2 linked regions of the Tamandua tetradactyla genome follow. The protein of the gene in region 1 purifies or fractionates together with the protein of each later gene. This does not show direct contact. Links are inferred from orthologs where the notes say so. Each region holds a gene or a part of one and is shown in the gene's direction. Other genes may lie near its edges.

The links.
Region 2: the proteins of ABL2 (region 1) and RIN1 purify together in Homo sapiens (co-immunoprecipitation; 3 studies listed by BioGRID and IntAct, counting the BioPlex papers as one, with this or other methods). This does not show direct contact. The link is inferred for Tamandua tetradactyla from reciprocal best matches to the Homo sapiens genes ABL2 and RIN1.

The regions. Positions count from the first base shown.
Region 1 is NC_135330.1:33,422,222-33,437,575, reverse strand, and holds the start of ABL2 (tyrosine-protein kinase ABL2), read left to right. Parts: upstream 1-9,756; 5' UTR 9,757-13,476; coding exon 13,477-13,672; intron 13,673-15,354. UniProt on the Homo sapiens protein: Non-receptor tyrosine-protein kinase that plays an ABL1-overlapping role in key processes linked to cell growth and survival such as cytoskeleton remodeling in response to extracellular stimuli, cell motility and adhesion and receptor endocytosis.
Region 2 is NC_135335.1:8,078,138-8,093,482, forward strand, and holds RIN1 (ras and Rab interactor 1), read left to right. Parts: upstream 1-8,362; 5' UTR 8,363-8,618; coding exon 8,619-8,848; intron 8,849-9,011; coding exon 9,012-9,192; intron 9,193-9,311; coding exon 9,312-9,426; intron 9,427-9,514; coding exon 9,515-9,587; intron 9,588-9,734; coding exon 9,735-9,826; intron 9,827-9,967; coding exon 9,968-10,714; intron 10,715-11,014; coding exon 11,015-11,320; intron 11,321-11,611; coding exon 11,612-11,743; intron 11,744-11,897; coding exon 11,898-12,049; intron 12,050-12,966; coding exon 12,967-13,440; 3' UTR 13,441-15,037; downstream 15,038-15,345. Other genes in the region: uncharacterized protein LOC143645511, read right to left, coding at 21-743, 2,156-2,266; BRMS1 (breast cancer metastasis-suppressor 1), read left to right, coding at 3,441-3,579, 3,662-3,752, 3,960-4,087, 4,204-4,283, 4,372-4,468, 5,045-5,137, 6,287-6,351, 6,793-6,832 and 1 more. UniProt on the Homo sapiens protein: Ras effector protein, which may serve as an inhibitory modulator of neuronal plasticity in aversive memory formation. Can affect Ras signaling at different levels. First, by competing with RAF1 protein for binding to activated Ras.

The DNA.
Region 1 (15,354 bases):
ACATGTCTTTTTTAATATTCTGTGTGGCAAAATGAGAAGTATGCATAAAGCACTTATGATGTATACCAAAATATGCTGTTTGTCTTCAGGGAAAACTCGTACGTGATTATTTGAGTTGCAAGCTGAACCAACTGCTTTTTTTCAGGGAGCACTATTTTTACTTGAAAGACCAAATAACAAACTATTCAAAATGGGATTTTGGCAGACATTTGAACACTGACTGGCTATGTAAAATTAAGGAATTTTTAATTTTTTAGATGTGGTAATCATATTGTGTGTGTTTTTAAGAGTCCTTATGTTTTAGAGTTGCATGCTTATGGGTGTCTGGAATTTGCTTTGAAATAAGTATCAGAGAGAGAAACTATAGATGAAATTAGATTGGCTATTTGTCGACAGTTGATGATTAGTCAGTAATGGGGTTCTTCTTTGTACTATTCTATCTGCTCTTGTATGTATTAAAATCTTGTTTTATAAAAGATCAAATGTGGACTCTCTCCGTCTCTAAGCCCAACTCTGCAAGTAAAATCATTACCCCCTCACCCCCACCCCACGTGGGACATGACAAGCGGTGTGAGTCTGTCTGGCAATGTGGAACATGAATTCCAGGGATAAATATGGCCCTGGCTCTGTGGGATGGACAATGCCTTACTGACCAAAAGGGAAAAAAGAAATGTAACAAAATAAGGCATCAATGGTGAGGAGATTTTAAATAGAGTGGAGAGGCAATTCTGGAAGCTACTCTCATGCAAGCTCCAACTTGATATGCTAACTGCTACAATTTGCCAAATCCCAACCAGCATCATTCCTGTTAACCCTAAGAACAGGGCTCTATCTGAGATCCTACCAAAGTTCCATGCCCTAGGTTTACTTTTCATAAATGTGAAACCTTCTGGTGGCTCATAGGCCAGATAAATGCTGAAATCCAGAGGTTCTAGTCTCTCCAGGAACATCAACCAGTTCCACCCCCTATCCTGTATTGACACCGCTTTTCAGCATATAAAATGTTAGAATGCGAATAACTCAAATATCGCTAAAGATTGAAAGAAGGATCAAAGGAGAAGGAGGAGTTATAACAGAAAAGTTAGGATTTAACAAATGAGTATGACGACTGAACCATTATATTAATATTTCTTTTTAGTCTCTAGTATCTTGGAGCAGCTAGAAGAAAAAACCTGAAATTATGAGACTATAACCTACACCAAACTTTGAAATCTGTTCTATAACTACTTGTTAAAATATACTTTGGAATTTATTGCCTTTTTTGCATTTGTTATATTTCACAATAAAAATTTTTTTTAATAAAAAAGTGAAAAAAACTTAATAATTGAATTCCTTTCTTGGGCATTTAAGCATTTTTTACATATAGCAACGTTTGAGAGGTAGCTGTTTTACAGTTACATTTAATTTGTGATATCAGTGTGTTCTCTGAATGCTCTTCTAAATAATGGAAAACAGAAACAATACTTAGACAATCATTTTACATTTTTGCTTGCAGATTACCCACTGCTTTAGTTTCCTAGGGTGCTTAAAGCAATACTATTAAATGGTTGGGAATTTATTCACTTATGGTTAGAGTTTAGGAAAATATCCAGATCAAGCCATCATCAAGGCAGTGCTTTTCTGAACACTAGTTGCCACCAATCCTTGGCTCCTCTGCCACATGGCAAGGCACATGGTAGCATCTGCTGGTCTCTCCCATCTCTTCCAGGTTTTGTTGATTTCAACTTCTTGGTTTTCTGGTTTTTCCCTTGCTCTCTGTATTCATTCTTTTTATAAAGGCCTCCAGTGATTCCACCCTGAATGAAATGGGTCATACTTTAAAGTAGCTTCATCAAAACTTAGTTACAATGGATCTACTCCCATAGGAGTGGCTTAAATTTAAGAACATGTCTTTCTGGGGCACAGACAGTTTCAAACCACTATATCCAGTATACTGAATTAAATATTGCTTCTCTGTAATAAAATTACAATTTTGAAGTGGCATCATTCTAGCTATAGGAAAATCTTCATTTCTGTCTTGGAAAAAGATGGACAGATTTTTGAAAAATCAGTATATTCTTTTAAGACTTAGCCTCTGATAGCTGGAAGGATTCCATACATGGAAAGATTTAAGAAACTTTTATTCTCAAACCTTGTATTTAGAGGACAGTGACATCCTACTACTAATAAGCTCAGTTTTACAGTTTTAGTTGGGAATTTGGTGTCATGACATGATTTTAATAATGTAATATTATTACATATTATAATGGCATATTATAATGGCACACTTAATTTTGATTACAGATTGCCAAGTATTTACATATCTTCAGAGGTCCATAAGTTCACCGAATGGGTGAGCTCACCAGCACCTTGAGTTCTCTTAGTTTGATAAAATAACAGATGAGAAAACTAAGGCCAAAACTGTTAAGTAACCTACCCAGTACAGCCCTGTAGAGTAGTAGAATACCTAGGACTGACTAGAACTTATATTTTCTTCTGTTCAGGAATTCTTTCACTGATATGTAAGATGCTAAGCTTTTTATTGACATTTATTCGTGTTTGTTCATAATCCAAAGTAAAAATATTTCTATTATTCTACGCCTATTTTGTTCAGTAGCATAGGGGTTAAGATTGGGTAATTTGCAATTTGAATTATAATTAAACTATTTTCTTTCAAGGCACTGAAGTATGCCATGGTGTGTCACCAGAGGAAGTGATGATTAACGGGAGAACCAGAGATAAATTTTTTGGTCTGAGGATAGAACTTAAGGATAATACAATTTTATCCCCTGTTCTAAATCAGGAGCTGGCAAACTACAGCCTGTAGGCCGAATTTGACCCACTGTCTGTCTGTGTGTGTGGCTCGCAACCCTAAGAATGGTTTTAGATTTTTATTTTTTATTTATTTATTTTATTTTATTTTATTTACATGGGCAGGCACCGGGAATCGAACCCGGGTCCTCGGGCATGGCAGGCAAGCACTCTTACCTGCTGAGCCACCATGGCCCGCCCGGTTTTACATTTTTAATGGTTGAAAAAAATTAAAAGAACAATATTACTATGTGAAATTCAAATTTCAGTGTTCATCAGTTAAGTTTTATTGTGGCACAGGTCAGCTTGTTTGTTTACATAATGCCTTTGTCTCTGCTTTCCTCAAACAATGGCAGAGTTGAGCAGGTATGACAGAAACCATATGTATTGCAAAGCCTAAAAATATTTGCTATTTGACCCTTCACAGATAAAGTTTGCTGAACCTTATTTTAGATGAAGCTAAATGCATATGAAAAGAAACATTTTCATTTATCCTTGCCTATTTTTTTAATTGAATGAAAAGAATACATATCTGCCCTTTTACAAAGCTGAACGTTTCTATCCTGAATGAGTAGTGTACGCTTGATGTTGAAGTGAGGGATTTAGGTATTTTAGAACCAAGTGTTCTATGAGTTTTCCTTTTCCAAGACCTTCTGGAGGCACTGAACAGTAACTTGAAGATATCAAAACTTGGAATACTGGGAGAGGGATGAGAGAAGGTGCAGAAGCTTGAAATAAGATAACAGGAGAAATGATTTTTGTTGAAGTAATTTATGCACAACCTTGGGCGCATTTGCTGTTCCTGTTGAATAGAAGGAAAGGACAACTTATCTGTGGTAGTTAGATTCAGTTGTCAACTTGGCCAGGTGAAGGCACCTGGTTCTGTTGCTGTGGACAAGAGCCAGTGGCATGTGAACCTCATCTGTTGCTGATGATATCTCCACTCAGCTAGGAGGCATGCCGGCTGCAGTGAATGATGTTTAATTGGCTGGTGCTTAAATGAGAGTGCAAGGTAGCACAGCGCAAGCAGCTCAGCATACCTCATCTCAGCACTCGCAGCTCAGCACAGGCCTTTGGAGGTGCAGAAAGATATCACCCCGGGGAAAGTTGTTGGAACCCAAAGAGGTCTGGAGAGAAGGCCAGCAGAGATCGTCCTGTGCCTTCCCACGTAAGAAAGAACCTCAGCTGAAAGTTAGCTGCCTTTCCTCTGAAGAACTAACGAAATAAATCCCCTTTTATTAAAAGCCAATCTGTCTCTGGTGTATTGCATTCCGGCAGTTAGCAAACTAGAACACTATCTAATACTTATGCCTTGTAAAACTGGCAGTTGGATTTCCAGATTAAATTGAAACCGATTTTAGAATGTAGCTATGAAGTAAGGGGGCTAAAAATTCTAATTGAAATAAATTTATTTAAACTAATGCCTCTCATTCTGAAATATAAGGTGATTCACCCAGAGGATTTATTCCATGAAGTAGAAAATGTAGAATCTACATTTTTCCACTCAATTGTATCAGATCTGTGCTTAAAAGAAAGCTGAAAATAGTGATATCTGTTGTTGACAGTATAAATAATTGTCATGGTTAGCATCTACAAAAAAAAAAACAAAGATGATGCTATTTTCAGTTTCGTTTTGTGATAGATTTTATTAGTTTTTCTGTAAGCACCACAAATAGCAACTTTCAGTTTCCTAGGTAGGGTAAGCTTGGTAAGAAGATAAGTGAGAAAAGTGCAGATAAAGATGTTAAAACAAAAACAAAATGTTTTTAATGTGAATTTACTTAGATAAATCCTTTCAAACCAATACATAATTTTATGTACCCTAGAAAAGCCATGTTTTAATACTAATCAGTGTTGTGAGAGCAGCTGTTTCGTCTAATCATTATTCAGCACTATAGGCTGGAAATTTGATTAGGTTATTTCCATGGAGATGTGAATCAATTGTGGGTATTAAACTTAATTAGATGGAGATGTATCTCTACCCATTCTATTTGGGTCTTGATTAGTTTGCTGGAATCCTGTAAGAAGAGGAGACATTTTGGAGAGAGTTCCTTTTTGAGAGCAGGGAGAGTGCTGCAGATCCCTCACAGAAGGACAAGAGAACCACAGAGTTCACCAGCCAGCAACCTTTGGAGATGAAGAATGAAAACCCAAGAAGCCTGGAGAGAAAGCTAGCAGATGTTCGCCATGTGCCCTTCCCGCTGAGCGTGAAAAACACTGAACATCATTGGCCTTCTTGAACCAAGGTATCTTTCCCTGGATGCCTTAATTGGATATTTCTATAAAATTGTTTTAATTTGGACAATTTCACAGCCTTAGAACTGTGTAAACTGTTAAACTGTAAATTTATTAAATTCCCCTTTTTAAAAGCCGTTTAAAAGCCAGAAAACTGGCAGCTAGCAAACTAGAGCAAATTATTTACCTAATATTTAAGAACACATTCACTGATTTATAGATGTCACCTCAGACTACAAAAATAACATCAGTGCAAGAGTTTAAGATGAATGAACATCATCTGTTGCAGGGAAAAAAGTCGCCCTCTTTTTTCTTCTTTAATTTTTTTTATTGTATAGTATAACATATCTGCAAAGCAAAGAAATAAAAAAGCAATAGTTTTCGAAGCGCTCTTCACCAAGTAGTTACAGGACAGATCACAGAGTTTGTCATGGTCTACCATACGATCCTCTTAGTTTTTTCCTTCTGGCTGCTACAGAATATAGGAGGTTAGAAGGTTTAAATATTTTTTAATCATCACAAATTGACTTTTATTCCTTTTTTAAATGCATAATAACATGTATAAAAAAGCTATAAATTTCAAAGCACAGGACAGTTAGCTGCAGAACATATCTCAGAGTTTAACATGGGTTACAGTTCTACAATTTTAGGTTTTTACTTCTAGCTACTCTAAAATATTGGAGACTAAAAGAGATATCAATTTAATGATTCAATATTCATATTCATTTGTTAAATCCTGTCTTCTCTGTATAACTCCACCATCACCTTTGATCTTTCCATCCCTCTTTTTAGGGGTGTTTGGGCTATGCGATTTAAAATTTTTCATATTGGAATGGTCTGTCACTAAATGGAGTAAGGAGGTGTAACTATCTGATGTTCTAGAGAGGCTGGGCTAGGTTTTAGGACTTATCCGGATCAAGGACCTTTCTGGAGGTTGTAGGTTTCTGGAAAGTTATCCTAGTGCCTGGAACCCTTGGAATCTTATATATTGCCCTAGATGTTCTTTAGGATTGGCTGGAATGGTCCTGGTTGGGGGTTGGCAGGTTATGATAGGTAGCAAGGTCTACCTGAAGCTTGCGTAAGAGCAACCTCCAAAGTAACCTCTCGACACTATTTGAACTCTCTCTGCCACTGATACTTTATTAATTATACTTCTTCTTCCCCTTTTGGTCAGGATGTAATTGTTGATCCCATGGAGCCAGGTCTGGATTCATCCCTGGGAGTCCTCTTCCATGCCACCAGGGAGACTTTTGCCCCTGGATGTCATGTCCCACTGTAGTGGGGAGGGCAATGATTTCACTTGCAGAGTTGGGCTTAGAGAGAGAGAGGCCACATCTGAGCAACAAAAGAGGTCCTCCAGAAGTAACTCTTAGTCATGCCTATAGGTAGGCTAAGCTTCTCTGCTACCTGCATGACCTTCACAAGAGTAAGCCTCATGATCAAGGGCTTGGCCTATTGATTTGGGTGTCCCTGAAGTTTGACACAGTATCAGGGGATTCCCTGATGATAAAGTTTATTAGTTCCATAGTCTTTGTCCCATCCCTAAAGGGACTTTGCCAATACAAACGTTACCCTCTTTTAAAATATTCTGTTAACACTGTAGGCTTCTTGGCTGAACTGTCCTTCTATCCAGTATTAGAATAAGGCCTGGATTGAGCCTAGTGCTTACTGCTTGCTTACTTACTTCTCTTTTCCCTTTGTTTGTCAGTTGTCTCCTGCAACAAATGTCTCTTTAGGATATTTGAACCTGCCTGGATATGTTCTTCTCTTTGCTTCTGATGTGTGGCTAACTGCTATCTCTGAGGACGACAGTATTATTGTAGTACTTGGTATATTGTAGATAATATAATATGTGTTTGTTGGATGAATGAATGATTGATGACCAAGGGAGAAGGCTTTTATCATATTCCATTAGAGGCTGTGTGGCCTCTACTGGTTACTATGTAATTCAAAGGAAGTCATCTTTTTTATAAATAGATGTTTTTGTTAATTCATAATAACTTAAATTTCTTTGCAGATGCACTTCCCCTCCATTCTGATTAATCCATAAACCAATTACCCTGTCACCAGATGATTGAAAATTGACTCTACTAATGGTTACACCAAAGACTTTAGATGGAACTCCAAATATAGTCTCATTGTCCTTGAGCTTATGATTCAACTGGTGCACTTGGCTCCAAAGCCCTGTTTAGTGCCTGTACAGCTCTTTGCTACCCTCCTCCCCCCTGCCCCCCCCAAAATAAAACAAAACAAAACTTTTCTCCTCCGGGGAGCAAAAGGTAGGTAAAAAATTATGTGAAAAGTATGAAGATTTGTGGGAGTCTACATTAAGTACCCAAGGTGGAAAAAAATTTAAATTGGAGCTTTTTATTCATTATTCACCACGTATTTGAATGCTTTCTATTTGTCTGGCCTTGCCATCATGGAGTTTGCATTCTAGTGGGAGAAGACACATTAAGCAAATAAATATATATCAGGTAGAGAAAAACAAAGCAGAGAAAAAAGAACAGAGAGTACAGTGGGAGGAGATTTGCTATTTATATATGCCTGTCAGCCCTGCAGGAACAAAGGAACTGTATCAGTCTGGGTTTAATTAGGAGTCAGAAACAACTCAGTGATTTAAAAATAATTACTAAGCCATGATAAAAGAAGAATCAAAAGCTATAAGAGAACTCTATATGATGCTGCTCTAAGGCTGGGGTAGAGTACCCAAGCTAAGACAAAGTTGAAAAAGGGATCCCTCCCTGGGGATTTCAGACCTTATTGGAGAAGGTGTCATTGCAGCCCACTTGATGGGTGAGAAGTTGAATGTTTGCTTGGTTCAGATATTCTGGTAAACAGTCATTTGGCAGGTAAAAAGTAATCCTCTGAGGTGCAGGTGAGCCATAGCTGGTTGCCAGGCACACAGTGTGCGGTGGACATGGAAATACCAGTATGGGTGGGGGGCCCAGAATGCATGGTGTTCATCATGGGGAGGGCTGTGGTATCAGGAGGGAAGCTGAAAACAAACTCCAGTAGATGCTGGTAAGGAGGAAAAAGTTGGGAAGCTGGACAGACACAAGGCATGGACTACAGGATGTTCATGTCAGAATTCAGAATCAGGAGGGTTATGAGAGAATAATTTATGGGAGTAGGCGAATTTGGGTCCTTATGTAGACAGGAAGCCTGGATCATGGGATGTCCACATTGAGTGAGGCCAGTGACAAGGTTGCCAAGGAAACCACCATGTCTTCTGAGTACATGGCTAGGGCAGCTTAACCTGAGGCTAGATAGCCTCATCCACACTGCTGACCAATGCTGCAGCTGCCAGAAACAGTAGGAAAGCTCCTTCCTTCTCCATTGTCCGTCTAGACTCCTCTAACAGAGAGAGCTTAACATTATGCTCACTGTAAAGGAATAATGCTTAAAGGAATTTCACCCATTATCACAGAACATGTAATAAAGAAGCAATAAAGTGATAAATGACACAGGAGCTAAGTTATGTGGAAATCTGCAGGAAGAGCATTCCAGGCAAAGGTAAAAATAAATGTAATGTCCCTGAAGCAAGGTTTCCAGTGACTAGCCAGGAGAGAGTGTTGCCAGAGATGATTTCAGAAAGGGATTGAATGGAAGGCCTAGTAGAAAATAGTAAAATCTGAATTTTATTCTGAGCAAAATGGGAAACCAATGGAGGGTTTTGAGCAGAGTAATATAATTTAGGATTTAAGAGTCTCTCTAGTCGCTATGTTGAAAATAGACTGAAGGAGGCCAGAGCCAAAAGAGGGAGACCAATTAAGGGTATATTGCAGTAATGTAGGCGAAAGTGGCTTAGACTGTGAAAGTAGCTGTGGAAATGGTATGCAGTAGTTGAAGTCAAGATAAATTTTGAAGGTAGATCCTTCAGGATTTGCTGATGGATTAAATGTAGGTATGAATGTAAGAGAGGACTGAAAGATGAGTGCGAGGTTTTTGGCCAAGTAACTGCAAGAATGGAATTGCCATTTACTGAGGGGGAATAGACTTTGGGGAACAGGACGTCAGTACTTCAAGTTTTGAATATATGAAACTTTGATTGAATAGAAAAGAAGAGATGTTGATGAGGCAATTGCATATGAGTTTGCAGTTCAGGAAAGATTTGGAGGGAACTATGGGATTAAGGGAGGTTTTTTGTCTATAATTTCTTTCTTTGAAGTTAATAAAACTATTTTTATAACAGTTCTAGGTTTATAGAAAATTGAGCAGTTAGTATAGAGAGTTCCCATGTAATCCTGTCTCTTGCACACAATTTCTCCATTAACATTTTCTATTAGTATGGTACATTTGTTGCAATTGAACCAATGTTGATACCCCTATTAACTAAAGTCCATAGTTTATGTTAGGGTTCACTCTTTGTGTAGTACAGTTCTATGGGTTTTGACAAATGTGTAATGTTATGTATAGAATTTACAATATCAATAAGAATAGTTTCACTGCCCTAGAAGTGGCCTGTGTTCTACATATTCATCCCTTCCTCCTTCTTCCGCACCCCAAAGCCCTGGCAGCCACTGATCTTTTTACTTTTTCTATATTTTTGCCTTTTCCAGAATGTCATAACATTGGAATCAAATAGTATGTAGCCTTTTCAGACTGCCTTCTTTCACGAAGCAATGTAAGTTTAAGATTCCTATGTCTTTTTTGTGACTTGATAGCTCATTTCTTTTTTTTTTTTTTTTTTTTTCCTGGGTTTATGGTCTGGAAATCGAACCTGGGTCTCCCACATGAAAGGTGAGCATTCTATCACTGAACCACCTGTGCACCCTCATTTTTTTATTGCTAATAGTATCCCATTGTATGGATGTATCACAATGTATCCATTCACCTTTTTAAAAATTTTTTATTAATAAAACCAATCAACATACAATATGAACATTCTTTTCTTTCATCACATAGTTGTATATTCATCATCATGATCATTTTTTAGAACATTTGCATCAATTTAGAAAAATAAAACAGAAAAATTCATATGTACCTACCCCTTAACCCCCCCTTTCATTGATCACTAGCATTTCAATCTACTAAATTTATTTTAACATTTGTTCCCCCTATTATTTATTTTTAATCTATACATTTTACTCGTCTGTCGATGAGGTAGATAAAAGGAACACCAGACACAAGGTTTTCACAATCACACAATCACATTGCAAAATCTGTGTCATTATACAATCATCTTCAAGAAACATGGTCACTGGAGCACAGCTCTACATTTTCAGGTAGTTCACTCCAGCTTCTCCACTACACCTTAACTAAAAAGGTGATATCTGTATAATGCGTAAGAATAATCTGCAGGATAACCTCTTGACTGTTTGCAATTTCTCAGCCATTGACACTTTGCTTTGTCTCATTTTGCCGTTCCCCCTGTTGGTCGAGAAGGTTTTCTCAATCCCTTGGTGCTGAGTTCCAGCTCATTCTAGGATTTCTGTCCCACGTTGCCAGAAAGGTCCACACCCCTGCGAGTCATGTCTCATGTAGAGAGGGGGAGGGCAGTGAGTTTGCTTGTCATGTTGGCTGAGAGAGAGAGGCCACATCTGAGCAACAGAAGAGTTTCTTTCGGGGGTGACTCTTAGGCCTAATTTTAAGTAGGTTTAGCCTATCCTTTGCAGGGTTAAGTTTCATATGAACAAACTCCAAGATTGGGGGCTCAGCCTATTGCTTTGGTTGTCCCCACTGCTTGTGAGAATATCAAGAATTCTCCATTTGGAGAAGTTGAATTTTCCCCCTTTATCACATGTGCTTGATTCATATGGACATAAGTTTTCAATTCACTTGAGGCAATTTTTAAGGGTGGCTCACTGTATTATTATATGGTAAGACTATATTTAGCTTTGTAAGAAACTGTCAAACTGTCTTGTGAATTGGCTGTACTATTTGGCATCCCCACCAGCAGTGAATCAGAGGTCCTGTTGCCTCACAGCCATATCAGTATTTGGTATTGTTATTTTAATTTGCAGTTCTCCAATGACATATGATGTTAAGTATCTTTTCATATGCTTATTTGCTACCTGTGAATCTTTTTTGGTGAGATGTCTGTTTAGATCATTTTGCCCATTTTTAATTGGGTTGTTTATTTTCTTGTTGAGTTTTAAGGGTTCTTTGTATATTTTGGATATTGTAATTTCTTTAAACTTTTGAGACTATTTTGATTTATTTGCTGTTGCAAGAAGTGTTAGCGGGAAATCCCTTTACTCTGCTTTCCCCACATTTTAACGCAACTCTTATAAAACTACAGTACAGTATCACAACCAAGTTATTGACATTGTTAGTCAAAACACAGAACATTTCCATCACCACAATGATCCCTCCTGTTGCCCTAGACATGACCCCCTTCTTCTTCTGCCCCACCCACCAGCTTTTTAACCCCTGGCAATCACTAGTCTGGTTTCTATTTCTATAATTTTATCATTTCAAGAATGTTATATAGATGGAATCATATGGCTTTTAATTTGGGGAGATTGGCTATTTTCACTCAGTATACTCCATTAAAGTTTGATTCAGGTTGTTGCTTGTATCGATAGTTTATTCTCTTTTTGTTGCTGAGTAGAATTCCATGGTTTAGGTATGCAGTTTGTTGAACATTTCACCAGCTGAAGGACATCTGGGTCGTTTCCACTTTTTGGTTATTACAAATAAAGCTGATAGAAACATTCCCTTTACATTTTTGTAATCCAGGGAAGGAGAAATTCAATATGTTGTTTGAAATTCTGACTTACTACTTTAGTCATTTAATTTTTGCTTTCCTCAGGTGGATGACAGTCCTAGTCTTTTTTTTTTTTTTTTTTGGAATGGGCAGGCACCAGGAATTGAACCTGGGTCTCTGGCATGGCAGGCGAAGAACTCTGCCTGCTGAGCCACCGTGGCCTGCCCGGTAGCAGTCTTTTAAAGTTAATTTTGTTGAAAGTATTAGCTTTGGAAAAAAAAAAAGCCTAATGTATTATGAGTCTCTAGAGAAACAGAACCAACAGAAGATACCTGTGAATACAAGATTTATAAAATATCTCATGCCACCACAGAAATGCAAGAGTCCAAAAGGGGCAGACAGTGAGACTGGCAACTCCATTGAAGGTCTTGACGAACTCTATAGGAGAAGTTGGCTGGCTGGCTTTGAAGAAGCAGTGAAAATTCTCTTTTCTCCTTTAAAAGTCTTCAACTGATTGAATCAAATCCAACTGTTTGGGTTGTTTCATTTGTGGGAGGCACACCGTTAGTTGATCGTGGGTGTAATCAGTCACAAATGCAATCAACTAACTGATGATTAAATAAACCAGCCTTCTGGTTTATCAACCAGACATGGAATATTCTTGCAATAACGATTAGGCTAGTACTTGCCTGACCAGACAATTGGGCTCCATCAGCTGGTTAAGTTGACACCAGAAGTTAACCATCAACTAATTATATCAAATTCATTCTTCCCTAGTCAAGTTATATTACAATTTTATGCTTCTGTTTTATTGAGTACTATTTCAGTCTTGACTTTCTGAAATTTACCCTGTTATCTTGATTAGCCTAGGATCTAGAACAATGCCTGGTACTGTAAGATGTTTAATAAATATTTATTGAATCAATCTGGTACATAGTAGATGTGTAATATTTACTGAATCAGTGGATATTCTCAGCTAAACAGTCACAAACACTTCTTGGCATTATATTTCTAGGTCATAACATTAATGACATCTACTATTTGTAAATTTTAATTCTTATAAGGTATTCTCATATTCAGGTTCTTCGACTTTATTTAACTTTGTTCCTATATATTAACAAAGATCAGACATTTACTTTTTAAATTATTAATACTGAAAAGTAGTTAACACTATCATGCCATGTTTTTAACCTTTATTAAGCTGTAGTGCCAAAATTTTAGCAAAGGCTATCATGTCCGGGCTTCTGTGGTTGTGAATCATATCTTAACTCTTTCTTTGGTTTTGGATTTGTGGTTTCTTGAGCTAATATAATTGACATAAAAAGTGAGTGTTGCTCGGCATTTCCTTTCTTTTAAAAGTATATTCGTTGTTTTATAGTAATGGTTTTTCTCCAAGAAAACTTTTCTCAGCAGTCTCACCTAATCATCTGCTTAGGAATGAATACCCAACTGTATGAACTAATCCCAGATTGTTTTATTATTAAACTATTTATTACTCATGTTTTGCTTTTTGCTTTATTTTGAATATTCCCATAGTTCTTAAAATAACTCTATTGTGGGCTGGCCACGGTGGCTTAGCAGGCAGGAATGCTTGCCTGTGATGCCAGAGGACCCGGGTTCAATTCCAGGAGCCTGCCCATGTAAAAAATAAATAAATAACTCTATTGTGACTCGATCTTTTGCTATTACTAGACATTTCCCTTTAGGTCATTCATTCTCCACCCACTTTGGGAGATGCAATACTTTCCCCTTGATTGGTTTCTTCTGGCTGCTGAAATGCATGAGTAACTGTCACATGCATGTGGTATTGCTTGTCAGAGGGTGGAATTCTAAGACTTCCTCATTACATAGGACACTTGAACTTTTTACTTCTGGGAAGAGGTATGATCCTTGGGACAGTCCTGCTTCCACATAATGGTTATGACAGAGATGAGGATATAACTCTTTGCTGTCTCTGCAGTGAGGCCTCAGAATCTGCTTTACCCAACTTCACAGGTATCGTTCAGAGGTGATTGTTTGGGGGGAAGATAAGTAACCACAGAAATCAAGTGTGAATGGAGATTTTTTAAAATTAATCTTTACTATTGTTATCTTCATTGTTGATCAGTGACGGTTCATGTGCTTTTTTCTTGGTATTTGTAGTATGATCTCAATGAATACTTATTGAATGAAAGAATGTATAATATACAGTATTTTAATGCATTAAGATGTGTATAGCTTCCCCCTATGTAGGACATGACTCCCCGGGATAAGCCGGGACCCAGCATCAAGGGATTGAGAAAGCCTTCTTGACAAAAAGGGGGAAGAGAGAAATGAGACAAAATAAAGTTTCAGTGGCTGAGAGATTTCAAACAGAGTTGAGAGATTATCCTGGAGGTTATTCTTACACATTATATACATAACGCTTTTTAGTTTATGGTGTGTTGGCGTGGCTTGGAGGGAAGTACCTGAACTGTTGAACTGTGTTCGAGTAGCTTTGATTATGAAAAAAGACTGTATAAACGTACAGCTTTTACAGTGTGACTATGTGATTGTGAAAACCCTGTATCTGATGCTTCTTTTATCCAGGGTCTGTACAGATGAATAAAAAATAAATAAGGATAACAAATAAATAAAAGGGGGAGATAAAGGCTAAAAATTGGGTAGATTGAAATACTATGGGTCAATGAGAGGTAGAGTAAGGGATATGGGATGTATGAGTACTTTTTTTTTTTTTTTCTGAAGTGATGTAAACATTCTAAAAATTATTATGGTGAAGAAAACACAACTAAGTGATGATATTGTGAGCCATTGAATATGCGGTATAACTGGACTGTGTGTGTATATATTTCTCAATAAAAATATATAATTTTAAATACCAGTACCCCTCCCCCAAAAGATACGTATGGCTTGATGTGAAGAACTTAAACCACATTAAAAACTGTTGAATAATTTATCTAATTACCTTACATAGTTTTTAACAGGTAAAAATATTAGTAACTTCTAAGAGAATGTTGTAATCAGATAAAGTAGAATTCTGACAAGATGTCTGTAAAATAATTGAAAATGCCTAAATTGAAAATTTTATATATTAATTTATCCAATTTCTGTGTGACAGATTTCTGGCTAAACTGATAATAGTTATTGAATGACTAGTAAAAGTGTCTTTAATAAAATTAAACATTAAGGAATTCTCTGAATTTGAGTTCAAGTTTTATTATTTTGGATTTTAACTTGTTTAATCCTGATAATTTACTTCTTACAAGCTATTTCTGTACCTTTTCTTGATAATCATAATGTGTTTCTGCTCCAAGTTTCTGCTGTGCCATAGTGAAACTCATGGTCTTCTATTTTCTTATTTAAGTCTTCTTTGGTCTACCTCTATTTAAGTATTTAAATGAAAGATTAACTCATTCTCTATTTAAGATACCAATATATATTAGCAACTTTACTGTGTTCAAAAATAATACATTTCTAGTCTAGACAGTTGTGGGCATAATCCATCTGAATCACGAGACTGTCTGAAGCCTAGAATGAAGAAAGGAGCATAAGACCTTCTTGGTAATACCATGACATTTGCTTATTCTTCCCTTGGGCTGTCTTTTTTTTTTTTTTTTTTGCCCATTTTCCCTAGCTTGCTCTCTTCCATTTAGTTCTTTAATTCTTTATGCTTTAATATATGTTCAAACACATATATT
Region 2 (15,345 bases), on another chromosome or scaffold:
TATTCTGGGGAGAGCTGTACCTTCGAATAAGCTGGTGCTGGGTATTTGCCTACCGATGACAATTTGTAAATAAATGAGTGTTCACACCCACAGCTGGCTCCGTTACTCTCCTGAGCTGGAAGGGGTCCCGGGTTCGCCGGGGCGGAGGCCGCGGATTGAGGGGCGCCGGCTGCAAAGCCAGGGAAACCACAAAAGGCCTTGTTCACCAGCACAGGGACCCTGTGAACCTCCGCCGGTTGCCTTGGTGACCGGCCCGCAGTATCCCAGCGTGCCTTGCCCCGCAGCTGTCCAATTGTGAGCTCCCTTGGTGGGCGCCTCCCGATGACGCACACGGAAGCGCCGACAGACCCCGCCTCCCGGAGGAGAGAGACCGGCGCAGTGCTTCCGGGGGCCTCGCGGCGGCGGTCGGTACCAACGGCCTCCGGCGCCTCTCGGGGAGTGTCGGACTTGAGGCCGAAGGCCGCAGCCACTGCGGTGCGTATCGCTGCCCTCGGCGCCTGGTTCGGCCTCTCCGGCCCGTCGGGTGGAACCGACCCAATCTCCTCCTCCCGCCCGAAGCAGAGACTTAACCGGCCGGACGCGTGAGGGGCCGCGGGGACGAGGCCGGCTGCTGGGCAGCTCGCGCTTCTCCGGCTCGCACCCGCGCTTTCTGCGGAGGGCCGGGGCCCGAGGCTCCCGGGCCTCTGCGGAGGTGCTGGGTTGGCTTCTGCGAGGGTGGGGAGGGGCTTGCCTTCCAGGGCTGTCTGCTCTCGGGGAGCTCATGGTCTGCAAAGATAAATTGCTTGTGCACAGGAGTGTTACAGTTTGCTTTGCCATCACTTTGTCTTCATCCCTTACCCTCTTAGTATCTGCATACACTCAGTAGGAATCCCCTTTTTGCCAAAGGGGCAAGGAGGGGAGGTCATAATTTAGTCCATTCACGGTCAGAGACAGCTGAAGGAGAGACGCCCTGCCCAACCCACACCACCCTACCCCACCCTACTTCACCCCACCCTACCCTACACACCTCATTCCCGTCCCCACCGGTGTGCAAGAGGTAGATTTACACTGAGAGTAAATATATTTGACATATTTTTGACATTAATTTGATATATACAATTAAAATGAATTGTAGATGGACAAGACTGCAGGAACTGAAGCTCGGGAATGGGAAAGGTGAGGCTGGTCGAGGTAGACAAAAAACGAAGATTCCCTTTCTGCTAAGGTGGTTTTCAGGTCCTGTTCAGATCATTGGTGAAATCACTGAAGAGAGTGACTAAACTCTTCCTTAGGCCAGGCATTTTACACTACTTGAATCAGTGTCAACAGAAGGTAACAGAACACTTTAGATTTGTTGACACTGCAAGGGCCCGGATCTACTGAGATGTGAAACCAATCTTTGCCCCGCAAAAGTTGGTTTGTTTAATTCTTTTTTTGTTAATCCTCCATTCATCAGGTGAACTAGTATTATGCTAGGTGAGTAAGCTGCACGTGCAGCCCCAGCCCTGGTGAGGCTCACAGACTGGGGAGGCAGACATGAGAATGGGCAAACAGAGGACATGCAAGCAAAGAAGTCTTCCTGGAGGGAGTGGCATCTATGCTGATCTAAACGATTACAAGCAGTATGGAGAGAAGTTAGAAAAACATCATAGTGAAATAGAAACCTCCAGGAGGCAATGAGATTATCTGCTCAGAGGACTAAGTCCTCTTCAGTAATCTTCAGGCTGGATTTGTTACTTTGTCAACCACTCCTGAAATTCTCTCTCTCTCTTTGACTTTGGGTTTTTCTCCACTGTCTCTGTCTAATTGCCTTCTTCTTTGCAGGGATCTTCTCATCTTCCCCTTTGGCAATCCTGGGAGTTCCACATAGGTCCCTTCTCACTCCACAGAATCTTCTCTGGCACTATCTCCCATGGCCTGAAGAATACACTAATACGCTGGTGGCCAGATCTCTTTGCAGCTCAGTTTTCTCTCTAGGGTTTTGACCATGTACCCCCATCCCTGCCCCTCCTCTCATTGCTGGGTCTCTGCACATAATCCTCAGTCTATCTGGAATGTTCCCTCCTTCCACCAGCTCAGCTCATCCAAGTCAGTCTTCCCCAGGAAGCCTGTACTGCTGTGCCAAGCTCCAGATCCCCATTAGATGCTCCTCCATTTGCCTTTGGTCTTCTCACACCATAGTACTTGGGTGCTTCTTTGCCTCTGTCTCCCAGGAACTCATAAGTGCCTCAGGGTCAAAGATTGTATCTTTCACAGTTGGGCCCTCGCACCTGCCATAGTGTCTCATGGTACCTGGCGTATATTAGGTATAGGTGCTAAGTAAATATTAGATGAGTGACTAAAAGATGAAATGCTTGTCAATGTGCAACGTTGCCTAGAAGACAATCAAGATAAGCACTGAAAAATGTTGGCATTAGCCACAAGGTAGGTCGTTGGTTAACTCCGTTTCAGCAGAGAGCAGGAGGTACAGAGACTGATGGGAATAAATGGAGCATGAGAGAGTAGGAATAGCAAGTGCACTTAAGGCCCTGAAAAACATAGCTGTAGGGTAGTGGAAGACAAAGACCGGTTAAATGGGATGAGGAAAGTTTTTATGTTTTTGCTTTTTTCCAATGGTGGAAAATACCGAGCATAGCTAAAGTTTTATGGGAAGGAGCCGGCCACCAGGGAACAGTGGAAGATACAGGAGAGAAAGGGACAGCGATGACATGAGGTCCTGGAGGAAGCAAAGGAGGTGGGAGTTGACCCAGAGCACAGTGAAAAGACAAGAAAACTGTAGAAGGTTATCAGGAAAAGGAGGGCATTAGGGGCAGAAGGAACAGCTCAGGCAGGGAAGAAGTACATGGGAAGTTTGAGGACTGGTCAGTAGACATTTGGGGCGAGAGAGCTGGATGGTTGGCTCAAATCCAGCCTGAAGGGCTTTCAAGAAAGCCCCAATCAGAAGTTTGGTCCCAGTCCCATAGGCAGTGGGGAGCCCTCAAACTTTTTTGAAAGGAAAAGGCAACTTGTCTGACATCCTGCTGGGTACTATGTATCTACATCCTCATAAGGATCCCAGGAAGGACAACTTAGTATCCCAGGGTCACCCTTAACATTGTAACGGAGGTGTTTTTCTGTGTTGTCATGTCTGCTTTTTTTCAGGCTACCTCCCAGCCTACCCAGCTTTCCCCCAATGGCTGCAAATACCAATAAGGCTGCCCTGAGCACTGTCATGCCCTTGGCCTTTCCCATCTCACAGATCATTTCCTTGGATGGTATTCCCAGGATTGGGATCACCAACAATGCCCAAGGGCATAAGTGTATCCATGGCTTCCGGGCTTTTGGGACATAGGGCCAGGCGGTACCCTTCCTGCCTGCTGGGACTCCCTGGCTGTCCCTTCTGATTAAGTGTCAGGCCACTCTACCACTCCAAGCTGCGGGCAGTAGTAAGTGATGGCTCCGCTCCTTCCCCCAGAGTCCAGATGCCCGTCCAGCCTCCGAGCAAAGACACAGAGGAGATGGAAGCAGAGGGCGACTCGGCCGCCGAGATGAACGGGGAGGAGGAAGAGAGTGAGGAGGAAAGGAGCGGCAGCCAGACGGAGTCAGAGGAGGAGAGCTCCGGTGAGTCCCACTTTCCCCCACCACATGCGCACCCCTCCTTGCTGCTCTTCAGAGCCAACCCTGCCCAGCCTCTTGTCCTCAGAGATGGACGACGAGGACTGCGAACGCCGCCGGAGCGAGTGTGTGAACGAGATGCTAGACCTGGAGAAGCAGTTCTCAGAGCTAAAGGAGAAGTGAGTCCGGAAACACCTGGGGCTGGGTCTTGGGGGCCCCTGGGCTGAGGAGGCAGTGGGCCTGGTGCTGGGCAGGGTGTCCGGGGTCCAGAGTGCGTGAGCTCCTAACACCAGGCCCTCCGGGAGCGGGTGCTTGGCACGTGTTTGCCCAAGAGTGGTAGACAGATAGCTACATGGCTGCCTTTCTTTTTTCTTTTTACCTCCCAGGTTGTTCAGGGAACGACTGAGCCAGCTACGGTTGCGGCTGGAAGAAGTGGGGGCCGAGAGAGCCCCCGAGTACACAGAGCCTCTTGGGGGGCTGCAGCGGAGCCTCAAGATTCGCATTCAGGTGGCAGGTCCGTGGGCCATCCTGTGCCCCTCCTCCCTCCTCCCAGCTCTGTGCTCCCAGCCCTTCTCCTCGGGCACCCAGGGTCCTGATCAAGCAGGACCCCCTTTCTCCTTCCCTGTGCAGGGATCTATAAGGGCTTCTGTTTGGACGTGATCAGGAATAAGTATGAGTGTGAGCTGCAGGGAGCCAAACAGCACCTGGAGGTGAGGGCACTGGGTGCAGGGTGGTAGGTGAGGCCAGGGATTGCCCCCCACCCCCACCCCCCGACTGAGCTGCCCTTGCCTCTCCCAGAGTGAGAAGCTTCTGCTCTATGACACCCTTCAGGGGGAGCTGCAGGAGCGGATCCAGAGGCTGGAGGAGGACCGCCAGAGTCTGGACATCAGCTCCGGTGAGTGTCTCACCCAGCTCTGGACCTCAGCTTTCCTGACTGCTTGTGGGGATGAGGACAGAGCTGCTGCTTGGAGTCATAGTGAGGACTGACTGACTGAGACCTGGCATGCAGAGGGCTTGATTCTGTGCCTGCCACGCAGCAGGGCCCAGGAACAGGGTTCCTTTGCCCTCCTGCGCCCTGTTCTCCTGCAGGAACGAGGTGTTGGTTGGACATGCCCACATGTATGGTAACCACAGTTCCCCCACTTCCACATTCGCACTTCATGTCCATTGCTCTGCCAGTAGGCTTCTTGGGGGTGGGGGACTCCTGAGGAGGCAGGAATTGTCATTGCCCCACTGTCCACGGAGCAAGTGAAGAAACCAAAGCTCACGAAAGTGCAGTGACCTCTCCCAGGGCTGCACAGCTGTGCAGTTGGGGCCTGAACTCAGGCTTCCGACCCCAAGCCCAGGCTTCCACGCATGGCCCTGGGTGATGGTGGGTGGGGAAGGGAGGAGAGGCTGGGCTGGCTCTACAAGCGTGGGGACGGCCTGTGAGGGCCAACACCTGTGACTGATCCTGGGTCTGGGGGCTCAGAGTGGTGGGATGACAAGCTGCACGCCAGGGGCAGCTCAAGGACCTGGGACTCCCTGCCACCCAGCAAGAGGAAGAAGGCACCTCTCGTCTCTGGTATCCTTCCCCCAAGGTGGCCTGAGACTGGGTGGGGGATCAGTGTCAGCACCAGACCCCAGGGGTGGGGGGATGGAGGTGACACGAAGGGCAGGGTTGGACTAGAGACATTCGCGGTCGTTGGGTGTCATGTGACCATATCCCAGCAGATCCAGCTGTCAGAAATTTATTGTGGGGCCGTGGGTCTCTCCTAGGCTCTGTGGACCATAGATAGAAACATCAGTTTAATGACGCCCCATGACTTCTGGGTGAGGTTTGGCCTCTGGGCCCATCTGTGCTTTCCATGATTTCTCCCAAGCCACTCAGTTGCCCCAGAGCATGTTCCAGGCTCTCCCGCGTCTGTGCCTTTGCTTGTGCTCCACCCTCCGACTGTGCCTTCACAGCTGTCCCTACCTGTTCGGTGCTTATCTCAAGTGTCACCTCTTCCGTGAGCCAACTGGGCTGCCCACCTCCCACATGGGAGGAGTTGTCTCTGCCTTCCCTGCCTTGGGCCTGAGCCCCTCCAATCCAAGGCCTGCCCTGTCTCCACCCCCGGGACCCTCCTGGTATATCCCAGCAGAATTATGTTGAATTATCTTTGCCACCTCTGAGGGCATTTCTGAAGGAACTAGATTCTTGGGTCCTGGTCACTTTGGTGATGGAGAGCAGATGCAGGCAGCTGGGAGCACACTAAGGCATGAATGGACTGTGAGGGCATGGGGATGTCAAATGCAGAGCACAGGTGGTCACGGGGCGGGGGGTAAGGTGTGGGTAGTGGACAGTCCCCAGAGGGAAATGTGATGCCCAGGGTTGGGAGACCTCCACATCTGTTCTTGGTAGAGAAAGGGCCAGGAGAGGGAACAGTTTATGCCACAGGAAGGGAGGGAATAGAAGGAGCAAGGGGGGTGGGGTGCACCTTGGACTCAGGCCTTGAGACTGGATGAAGGTGAGGGTGAGCCGAGGGGAGGTAGGCAGTGAGGTCCTTGTGAGGGCCAGGGGTGGGGTCTCATGGTGGGAGGTGAGACCTGACCACAAACCCAGGTTCACAACTGTCCGGTCTCACGCTGCCCTCTCTCAAGCACTGGGTTGGTGCCCCAGTCCCCCCGCCCCACCCCCCCACCCATCCCCTGCAACCCCGCTCGGCTCCTGCTTCCTTGACTCCTGTCGCAGGCCCTTACATCGTGTATATGCTGCAGGAAATCGACATTCTAGAGGACTGGACTGCTATCAAAAAGGTAGGGGGTCCCTACTGTCCCCCACCCCAGCCCCATCACAGGGCAGTGTGAGACCTCTCTCAGATACCAAAGTTGGGCTTGTCTCTGTAGAGACAGGGTTCTCTGCCACCCAGGTTTCTTATCATCCTTGGCAGACAGACGTTCTCCCTTTGCCTGAGACGGTCTTTTTAGCCTGCCAGCCCCTTCTGGTTGCAGGGCAGGTTCCGATGGGGTGGGGGGACAGGGAGGGAAGGGTGGCAGGCTCCTGGAGGGCGTCTGGGCTGGCTGGGTATCTGAAAACAGACATCAGGGCTTTGCTTGGAAAGGGTCTTAAGCTCCCCACCCCTCTCAAAGCACAGCTGATCCAGCAGCCCCCCACTTCCATGGAGGTTGATATGGGGGGACGGTCCTTGCCAAGCTGGAGGCAGGCTCTCAGAGGGGCTTTTCTTCTTGCTCATCCAGGCTAGGGCAGCTGTGTCCCCTCAGAAGAGAAAATCGGATGGTAAGAACCATGGAGGCTACACTTCCTCCCGTCCCCCTTGTCCCCTTACTGTCACCTCTTCTAGCCCCACCTCCAGAAGGGAGTCCTGAGAGAAGCAGTGGACCTGTCAGAATCATCATGGCCCAAGACAGAAAGAATGATCTAGACCTGGGGGTGGAGTGAGCATTTGGGCTGCAGGAACCTGGGGTGGGAGCTTTGGGTTGCTGGGGCGGGGGAGGCTGACCAGCGAGGTTGGGTCAGTGTGGGCCTGAAGGCTGGGGGGAGTTCCTGGGCAGAGGGCTGAATCCAGAGCCCCGGTGCAGCTCAGGCTGGGGAGCAGCCCCAGAGCCAAAGCCATACCCCGAGCCCGCATGTGAGGTGGCCCTCCCTGGTGGCTCCCCACAGTGACTGTCCCCTTCCCATATGCCCCCAGGACCGTGACCCTCTGTTCACCACCACGGGGTCCCTCGGCGTGGCCAGCACCAAACCCAAGATTCCCCTGCGGAAGGGTGGGCTGACAAGCCCCTCTGGGTCCACCTGACAGCCCAGCTGGCCCCCCGTTGTGGCTGCTGGGGCCTCACCCCTGGCGGTCACTTGTCTGGACTCTTCCTCCGCCGCCTCCTCAGGGGTCTGCACGGCAGTAGACGTGGAGCTGACCTGGGCAGCCAAGATGTCTTCCCTGTTCCCGACCGGCCCACTGTCTCCCCCTCCCAAAGATCAGCCGTCTCCATGCCTCCCAGACAAAGAACCCTTGCCTCATTTTAAGCCAAAGCAACTTCCCCTTCCTGTGACCCTGGATTCCAGCTCTCCAGAACTGAGGGAAGGAGCTAGGCCCCACTGCATGGGAACTTTAAATCGTAACTTATGACTGGGGGGCCCATCTGCCCTGGCTGAGCTGGAGGTGGAAAGCCAGGCTTCCCAGCTTCTCTCAGGGCGTCTTTTCATGTCTGCCTCCTAGGTGGTAGGGACTGGAATTAAAACCTTTCCTGGGACTCTGGCATGGCCTGTGTGTATGTCTGATTCACCTGGCAAGGGAATCAGGGCTCCCGTGGGGAGCCACCTGGGACAGGCAGACCCTCCTCGGGTCCCTGGGATGTGGCACCTCTCCCCACTACCCAGCAGGAGCCTGTACCTCTGAGCTGGGTGGGGGGCCGGTACTTCTTAGCACAGTCTGAAGCAACATGTGGCCCAGGTAGAGCACGTGGCGAGCATACGGGTGCTCAGGGCTTGGGGGCTGGGTCATGTCTGCACCTGCCCGGGTTGCTTGGCAGATTGGCAAGGCAGGCTGGCAGGGCCTGTGCGTGGGAGGCAGCCGGCAGCAGCGCCGTGTGCTGACGACCTCACAGCCAGACTCCCCCCGGTTTAGCGCTGAGTGTTAGAACCACCCCCAGCACCTCAGTTAAGCAAAGGGGTTCGTTTCCATGGCGACATGGCATCTTTTCTCCATGGCAACCTGAAATCCCAAAGTCCAGGTTAGGCTCAGGGATGAGTCATCCGTAACCAATAGGGGGCGCTCGCCCACAAGGCTGACCCTAAGGCCTCGGAGGAAAAAAAAAGGATCAGTTGACCACAGACTTAAAGGTGTTCCCAGGGCGAGGCTTGGGCCCCCAGGGCCTGAGGCAAGCCCTGCTTAACCCTTTCCCCGCAAGCCGTGATGAACTCCTTCCCGCCCAGGGGTGTGGCTTGAGGCCAGGGAGGCAGTGGGAAGCACTGGCGGCAGCAACCCCAAAACTGGTATCCGCAGTGAGGTGCAGGCAGGAAGGGGATCCCAGGCCCCTGAGGCTGTGCCCAGAGCAGAAGCAGCAGAATGGACACACAAGAGTTAACTGGCGGGTGTGACCGGGCGCCCCGCCCTCAGGAAGTGTTACTCACCGCCGGGAATGTGAGTGTCCTCGCCTGGGGGGCTGGATTCGCTTCCCGAGTCCCAGGAGAAGCTAAGGCGCTCCCAGCCATGGACAGCCCCGGAGAGCCGGGCGCAGGCCCTGGCAGAGACCCCAGCCCGTCCAGCTCTGCTCCCAGGCACCTGGAGATAGAAAAGTTAGTGAAGTTGGAGGGGTAGCCAGGTGGGACGGGGAGGGAGGGCAGGAAAGGGTCCGTCCGGGGGCTGGAGAAGGGCTGAGCCTGGTCTTTGGGGCTAGGGAGGGTTGGACAAGGGTCCCAGCCCCCGGCACCCTGCCCAGGTCCGGCTGCCCGCCCGCAGGCCAGCCCGCGACCTGCTGTATGATGTACCCGGCGCCGGCGGAAGGCAGGTGGGTGAGCCCCAGCGGCCGGGCCGCGCCGTGAGCCTGCGGGAGCGCCTGCTGCTCACCCGGCCCGTGTGGCTGCAGCTGCGGGCCAACGCAGCGGCCGCTCTGCACGTGCTGAGGACCCAGCCCCCCGGGGTGAGTCTTGCCCGCGGCCTGCGGGGCCTGGCCAGTGGGAGGGCAGGGTGGGGGTGGGAGAGGCCAGACACCGTGGTCCGGAGCTGCACCCCCCACCCCCAACTCCCGTCCACCCGCAGACGTTCCTGGTGCGGAAATCCAACACCCGCCAGTGCCAGACCCTGTGTGTGCGGCTGCCGGAGGCCGGCGGGCCCTCCTTCGTCTCTAGCCACTACATCCAGGAGAGCCCCCGGGGTGAGAGGGGCTGGCTTGGAGGGAAGGGGGCTGGGGCGGGCCAGCTGGGGGACACCCAGAGAACGCCCCAACTTCCGGTGACTCCCAGGCGTCTCCTTGGAGGGCTCGGAGCTCGTGTTCCCGGACCTGGTCCAGCTCATCTGCGGCTACTGCCACACCCGGTGAGTGTCCACAGGGCACCTGCCAATCTAGGGTCCCTGGGGTCCCTGCTTCTTCCATCTTCCCCCACCCCGCTGGCCCCTCCCAGGACCCCCGTGGCCCCAGGGATCCCCTCACTCTGGACTTTCTGCTCCCTCTTTCGGTCCCAGAGATGTCCTCCTCCTCCCGCTCCAGCTCCCCAGAGCCATCCGCCAGGCAGCCACCCACAAGGAGCTGGAGGCCATCTCCCATCTGGGCGTCGGTAAGGGCCCCCTGCCAGCCCTGCCGAGAGGGGAAGGGAGAGCCATGCGGCCACCCACCCGGAAGTCATGCCTCCCCCTGGGTCGGGCGCCCTCCCCTCCCCGGTTCCTGAGGCCCCCCCCACTTGGTTTCTCCCCCCTAGAGTTCTGGAGCTCCCCCCTCAATGTCAGGGCCCCACAGGATCCCCCTGAAGGCCCGCTGCTGCCCCTGCTGAAGCCCCGGTCCCCTCAAGAGCTGGACCAGGGCACTGGAGCTGCCCTGTGCTTCTTCAACCCCCTGTTCCCAGGGGACCTGGGCCCCACGAAGCGTGAGAAATTCAAGAGGAGCTTCAAAGTACGCGTGTCCACGGAGACCTCCAGCCCCCTGTCTCCCCCAGCTGGGCCGCCGCCCCCGGTCCCCGTGCTGCCCAAGGCAGCCCCGGACCAGACCGAGAGGCTGCCCCCTCACGGGCTGCTGCGCCGGGAGAGCTCCGTGGGGTACCGCGTGCCGTGGAGTGCTGGCCCCAGCCTCCCGCCCCTGCCCTCCCTCCAGGAGGTGGACTGCTGCTCCCCTAGCAGCTCGGAGGAGGAGGAGGGGGCGGCGCCAGCATCCCGGCGCAGCTCAGGGTCCTCGCCCTGCTTGGGCCGCCGCCGCCGGCCCCTGTTGCGGTCCATGAGCGCCGCCTTCTGCTCGCTGCTGGCACCCGAGCGGCAGGTGGGCCGGGCGGCCGGGTCGCTGGTGCAAGACAGACACACGGCCGTGGGCCAGCTGGTGCAGGACCTGCTGACTCAGGTGCGGGCCAGGCCCGAGCCCCAGGAGCTGCAGGCCGTCCGCGAGGCGCTGAGCCAGGCGCGGGCCATGCTGAGCGCCGAGCTGGGCCCCGAGAAGCTGCTGCCTCCGGAGAGGCTGGGTAAGACCCCAGCTCCCCGACCCTGCCTTCCCTCACCACAATTCCAGCCAGTCCCCACTCGATGCTCTCATCTTCCCGCAGTTCCAGCCTAACTCCTTGCGCCTGTTGCTTTACAAACCCACCTCGTCTCAGCATCACTCGAGTGACTCGGTCCGTCCCTTCTCCCTCCTCTCTCCCATCCCACCCCGATTCCTCCACCTTCCATCCCCTCTTCCCGCCCAGTCCTGGCCCTTCTCCCCAGGACTCTGCCCCCAGCCGCAGGGCCTGAGGCCTGAGCCCTGACTGGCTCTCCATCCTCAGAGCACATTCTGGAGAAGTCCCTGCACCGCTCCGTGCTCAAGCCCCTCCGGCCCCTCCTGGCAGCCCGCCTGCGGAGCCGGTTCTCCGCCAACGGCTCCCTGGGCTGCCTCGCCGAGGGCCTGCGCCTGGCCCGGGCCCAGGGCCCCGGAGCCTTCGGGTCCCACCTGTGCCTTCCCTCCCCGGTGGAGACGGAGCAGGTGCGCCAGAAGCTGCTGCAGCTGCTTCGCGCCTACTCGCCCAGCGCCAAGGTCAAGCGGCTCCTGCAGGCCTGCAAGCTGCTCTACACGGCGCTGCAGGCCCAGGCGGGTACGTCCACACCCCTGCCCCCCACACCCCTGCCCCCCGCGGGCCCCCTGCACAGTCAGACGCAGGCATCTCAAAGAGAGGCACCAGGACCCAGGAATGGCGCAGTAGGGGAGAATCAGTCCGATCCTCCATCTTACACATGGAGAAACTGAGGCCCAGATGACAGAGCAGCCTCTCCACATAGTTGTGGGCTGGCAGGCAGAGGGGAGGGGTCGCTGGCCAAGACACGCTGTGGGCCCTGACCCTAGGCCTGGGGGACCCTGAAACCGCCTCTGCCACACGTCCCCGCAGGGGAAGGCGCTGGTGCCGACGAGTTCCTGCCACTACTGAGCCTGGTCCTGGCCCAGTGTGACCTCCCAGAGCTGCTCCTGGAGGCCGAGTACATGTCAGAGCTGCTGGAGCCCACCCTGCTCACCGGAGAGGGTGAGGGGGCCTGACCTTCCTATCTGGGTGGGACGAGGGTGTCTTCGCTGCTCTCTGGGCCTGGGTGAGCAGGGAACGGGGAGAGGGAGGCAGTCGTTTCCCCCCCCCCCCCCCATGCCCAGCCTGACCCACACTCTTCCCCGTGGCGTCCCAGGCGGCTACTACCTGACCAGCCTCTCGGCCAGCCTGACCCTGCTGAGCAGCCTGCACCAGGCCAAGGCCGTGCGCCTCAGCCCCTCCCAGGAGCTGCAGCGCTCCCTCAGCCTCTGGGAGCAGCGCCGCCTGCCGGCCACCCACAGCCTCCAGGTAACAGGGCCACCCCCACCCCTGTCTGCCCCAAACTGCCCAGGCCCAGGAAACTCTGGCATCATCGGGTCCAGGCCCCTCCTTTCCCAGTGAGACACAGCAAGGGGAGGGGGTCCCAGCCACAACCAACAGCAAAGCCGCGCTTTGCGGGGGGAGTGTATTCCATGTGCTCTCAGGGCTCTGGGGCCATCATTTCCAGAATCTTCACATCCGCCGTGAAATAGGACTGTCATTATACCAGTTTTACAGATGAGGAAACTGAGACGTGACGCAGAGAGGGAAGGAACACGGATGGCAGGCGCAGGCCCAGACCCCTGGCCCCAGCCCCCAGCCGGGGCTTCTGCCCATGCTTACCTTGCCCTCCCGTCTAGGCTCGGCCTTGGGCATCCTTGGAGCCAGACCCAGCCTTATCCTTCTCCCTCCTCTCCCTCCTCTCAAGGGCACCGCCCTAGTCTTGGCTAAAAGTCCAGACTCTGTAGCCTGAGCCTGGTTTCAAATCCCAATTCTGCCTCTTCCCGGCTGTGGAATCTTGGGCAAGCCCGGAACCTCTTTGAGCCTCAATTTTCTCATCTGTAAAATGGGATAATAGTACCTACTAATGTAGGTTAATATAGTACAAGTGCTGAGAATGCTGCCTGGTGCTGGGCAGCTACCAAGGGTCCCTTATTGTTGGGCTAAGATCCCCGTCAGGGCCGTCCTTTTTTGGCAGCCCTGTGACCCATTGGCCCAAGCACATCTCTCCCTCCCTCCAAGCCTCCCTGGCAAATCACCTTGTCCAGAAAGCTCTGGGCAATTAGTCCCACCACCTGATATATAGCCCCACCCTCACCCTACACAGCTGCACTGGGGGTAGAGGTTTTGGAGCCAGCTATGCCAGGCAGGGTTGAGGATTTGTTTTTTGTGTGTCCTCGGCATAGCGCCTTCTCCGAGTCGCCTATCAGGACCCCAGCAACGGCTGCACCTCCAAGACCCTGGCCGTGCCCCCAGGAGCCTCGATTGCCACCCTCACCCGCCTCTGTGCCTCCAAGTTCCGAGTGACCCAGCCCGACACCTTCGGCCTCTTCCTGTACAAGGAGCAGGGTTACCACCGCCTGCCCCCTGGAGCCCTGGCCCACAGACTTCCCCCAGCTGGTTACCTTGTCTACTGCCAGGCAGAGCGGCCCGAGACCCTGGGGGCCTCCCCAGAGGAGGGCAGTGGGGGGCCAGGTGAAGGGAGCAGGGAGCAGGAGAAAGAAAGCCAAGGCGATGGAGACAGTGGGGTCAAAGCTAGCCCCAGGGACAAGGAGGAAGAGGCTGAGACAGCTGCTGAGGGGGACGAGCATCAGGCCAGAGGAGACCCTGTTCAGCCAGGGGAGCCAGAGGCTGAGGGAAGCCTGGTGGCAGAGGAGTAGCTGGGAGGTGGCCAGAAGCATCCTATGGGCCGGAGACTCTTGGAGCCTGCCAGGAAGGCCTTTCAGTTCCACCAGCCCAGGCTACCACCTCCACGGCCCCCTCCCCTGCCCTCTCCTCTGCTGCTGTCTGGTATTCATCTCTGTGACCCCACCTGCTTGGGAGCTTCTGGGTTGGCCACATCTGGGGGATTGGAGTAAAGTGGAGGGGGATTGTGGGACCCCAGACCAAGCGCCCAAGGCCTCTTGGCTCTTGTCCTCCCCCAGCTGGAGGCCAGCCAGCCTGTAGCGGTGAGTGTCCCCAACAGGGGTCAGATCCAACTGATGCCAACTTCTGGCAATAGAGAAGGGTTTGGTTCCAGCTCTCTTTGCAACCCCCCTACCCACGGGGCCAAGGCAGGGCTCCAGCCCACTGCTGCAGGTGAGGATGATGCAAGGAGACGGGCAAGGCAGCAAAGTTTCAGGACCACGTGGAGGAGCCCTGCAAGCCAGCGTCCTTACCTAAGTAAAGTGGGGTACTCTTGCTGCCCTACCTGCCTCCAAGTGTTCCAGGTCAAAACGGATGAGTTTGCCCCAAAGCAGAGCTTGCACAAGGGGAGAAGGGGGTGTCAGCAACCCCTCCCACTCTCAGTTTGCTTCCAGGAATGCGGTCTCTGCCTTTTAGAAGGCTCTCCCTTGGTGATGGTGTCAACTGGTCCACCAGGGAAATCTGGTGGACATCAGAGGAGAAAGCACAAGTTCCAGTCTTTCCCCCAAAGAGGAAGTTCCCCCCACCCCCATCACTCCAGCACCCTGGGGAACTGGACAGGAGGAGATAATCCAGCAAGGAGATAAGCCTCTGAGTAAGGAGGTAGGGAGAGGGGAAGGTGGGAAGTGGGTGGGTCTTAGGCACCAATTTCTCTGCTCTTAACTCTTTGGGCCTTTACGATAGCTTTACTGGCAGGCAGGGCATAACTCACATGCACCACTAAAGTTCAGAAAAGAAGGGTGACTCCCCAGATGTCACACAGCAGTCCGCCACCTCCTAATCCAGGACCCTTGTTCTAAGTAAACCTTCAAGGGTCACACAGCCCCAAAAGGGGACCCAGAACAGAAGGCAAATCTGAGGGGAAAAAAAAATGCCAACCATGAGGTGGCGCGCGTGGCCCAGGAAGCTTCTGTGCAGGTAACCCAGGGGGCTGCCACCATGTGGGGGTCAGAGCCTTGTCCTCTGATGACGGCCTGGCAATCTGGGGTCAGCACAGGAGCTGAGGCTGCTGACCCTTGAGCCCCATGGGGTCAGGGGCTGGGTGAGGCCAGTCTAAAAGGGACCCTTCCCGATCTCTCTGAGCACAAGGGGAGATCCATATGTCAGAGTGACAGGAGGCAGAAGTCCCAGACATTGGCTCTCAGACAATCCAGACACAGACCAGGTGTGGGGACCTTCCTGAGGCTGGATAAGGGGCGGCCCCAAATTAGGCCACCAGCAGCTCTTCCCTCCCCCCACCCAAGCTTCTCGCTCCCTTTCTTTTGTATGCCCCCATCCCTCACCCCACCCCTACCCCAGTGCCTTGTTCAGTGCTGGGCATTCCATAGGCATTTAATAAATGTTGTTCAATGACTGGAGTTTGGTAACCAGGAGGGAGGATTTGTCAAGTCCAGTCCCAGAGGAAGGATCTGGAAGGGTTATAGGGGATGTTCAGAGAACCCAAGGGGTAGCAGAGGGGGCCGGGGCAGCCAAGGCACCTGGGTGGGGCAGGGGCTTCTGCAAAGCCCCATTCAGTCCCAAATCCTGCCTCTGGGAACTCAGCCATGGCTCATCACAGGATAGCCAGGCCCTCCCTGCTGCCCGGATCTTTCATTTTATCTTCTCAGGCTAGAGATTCTGATCAGCCAGGGATCCAGGCCAAGTAACTTAGCGGCACCAGG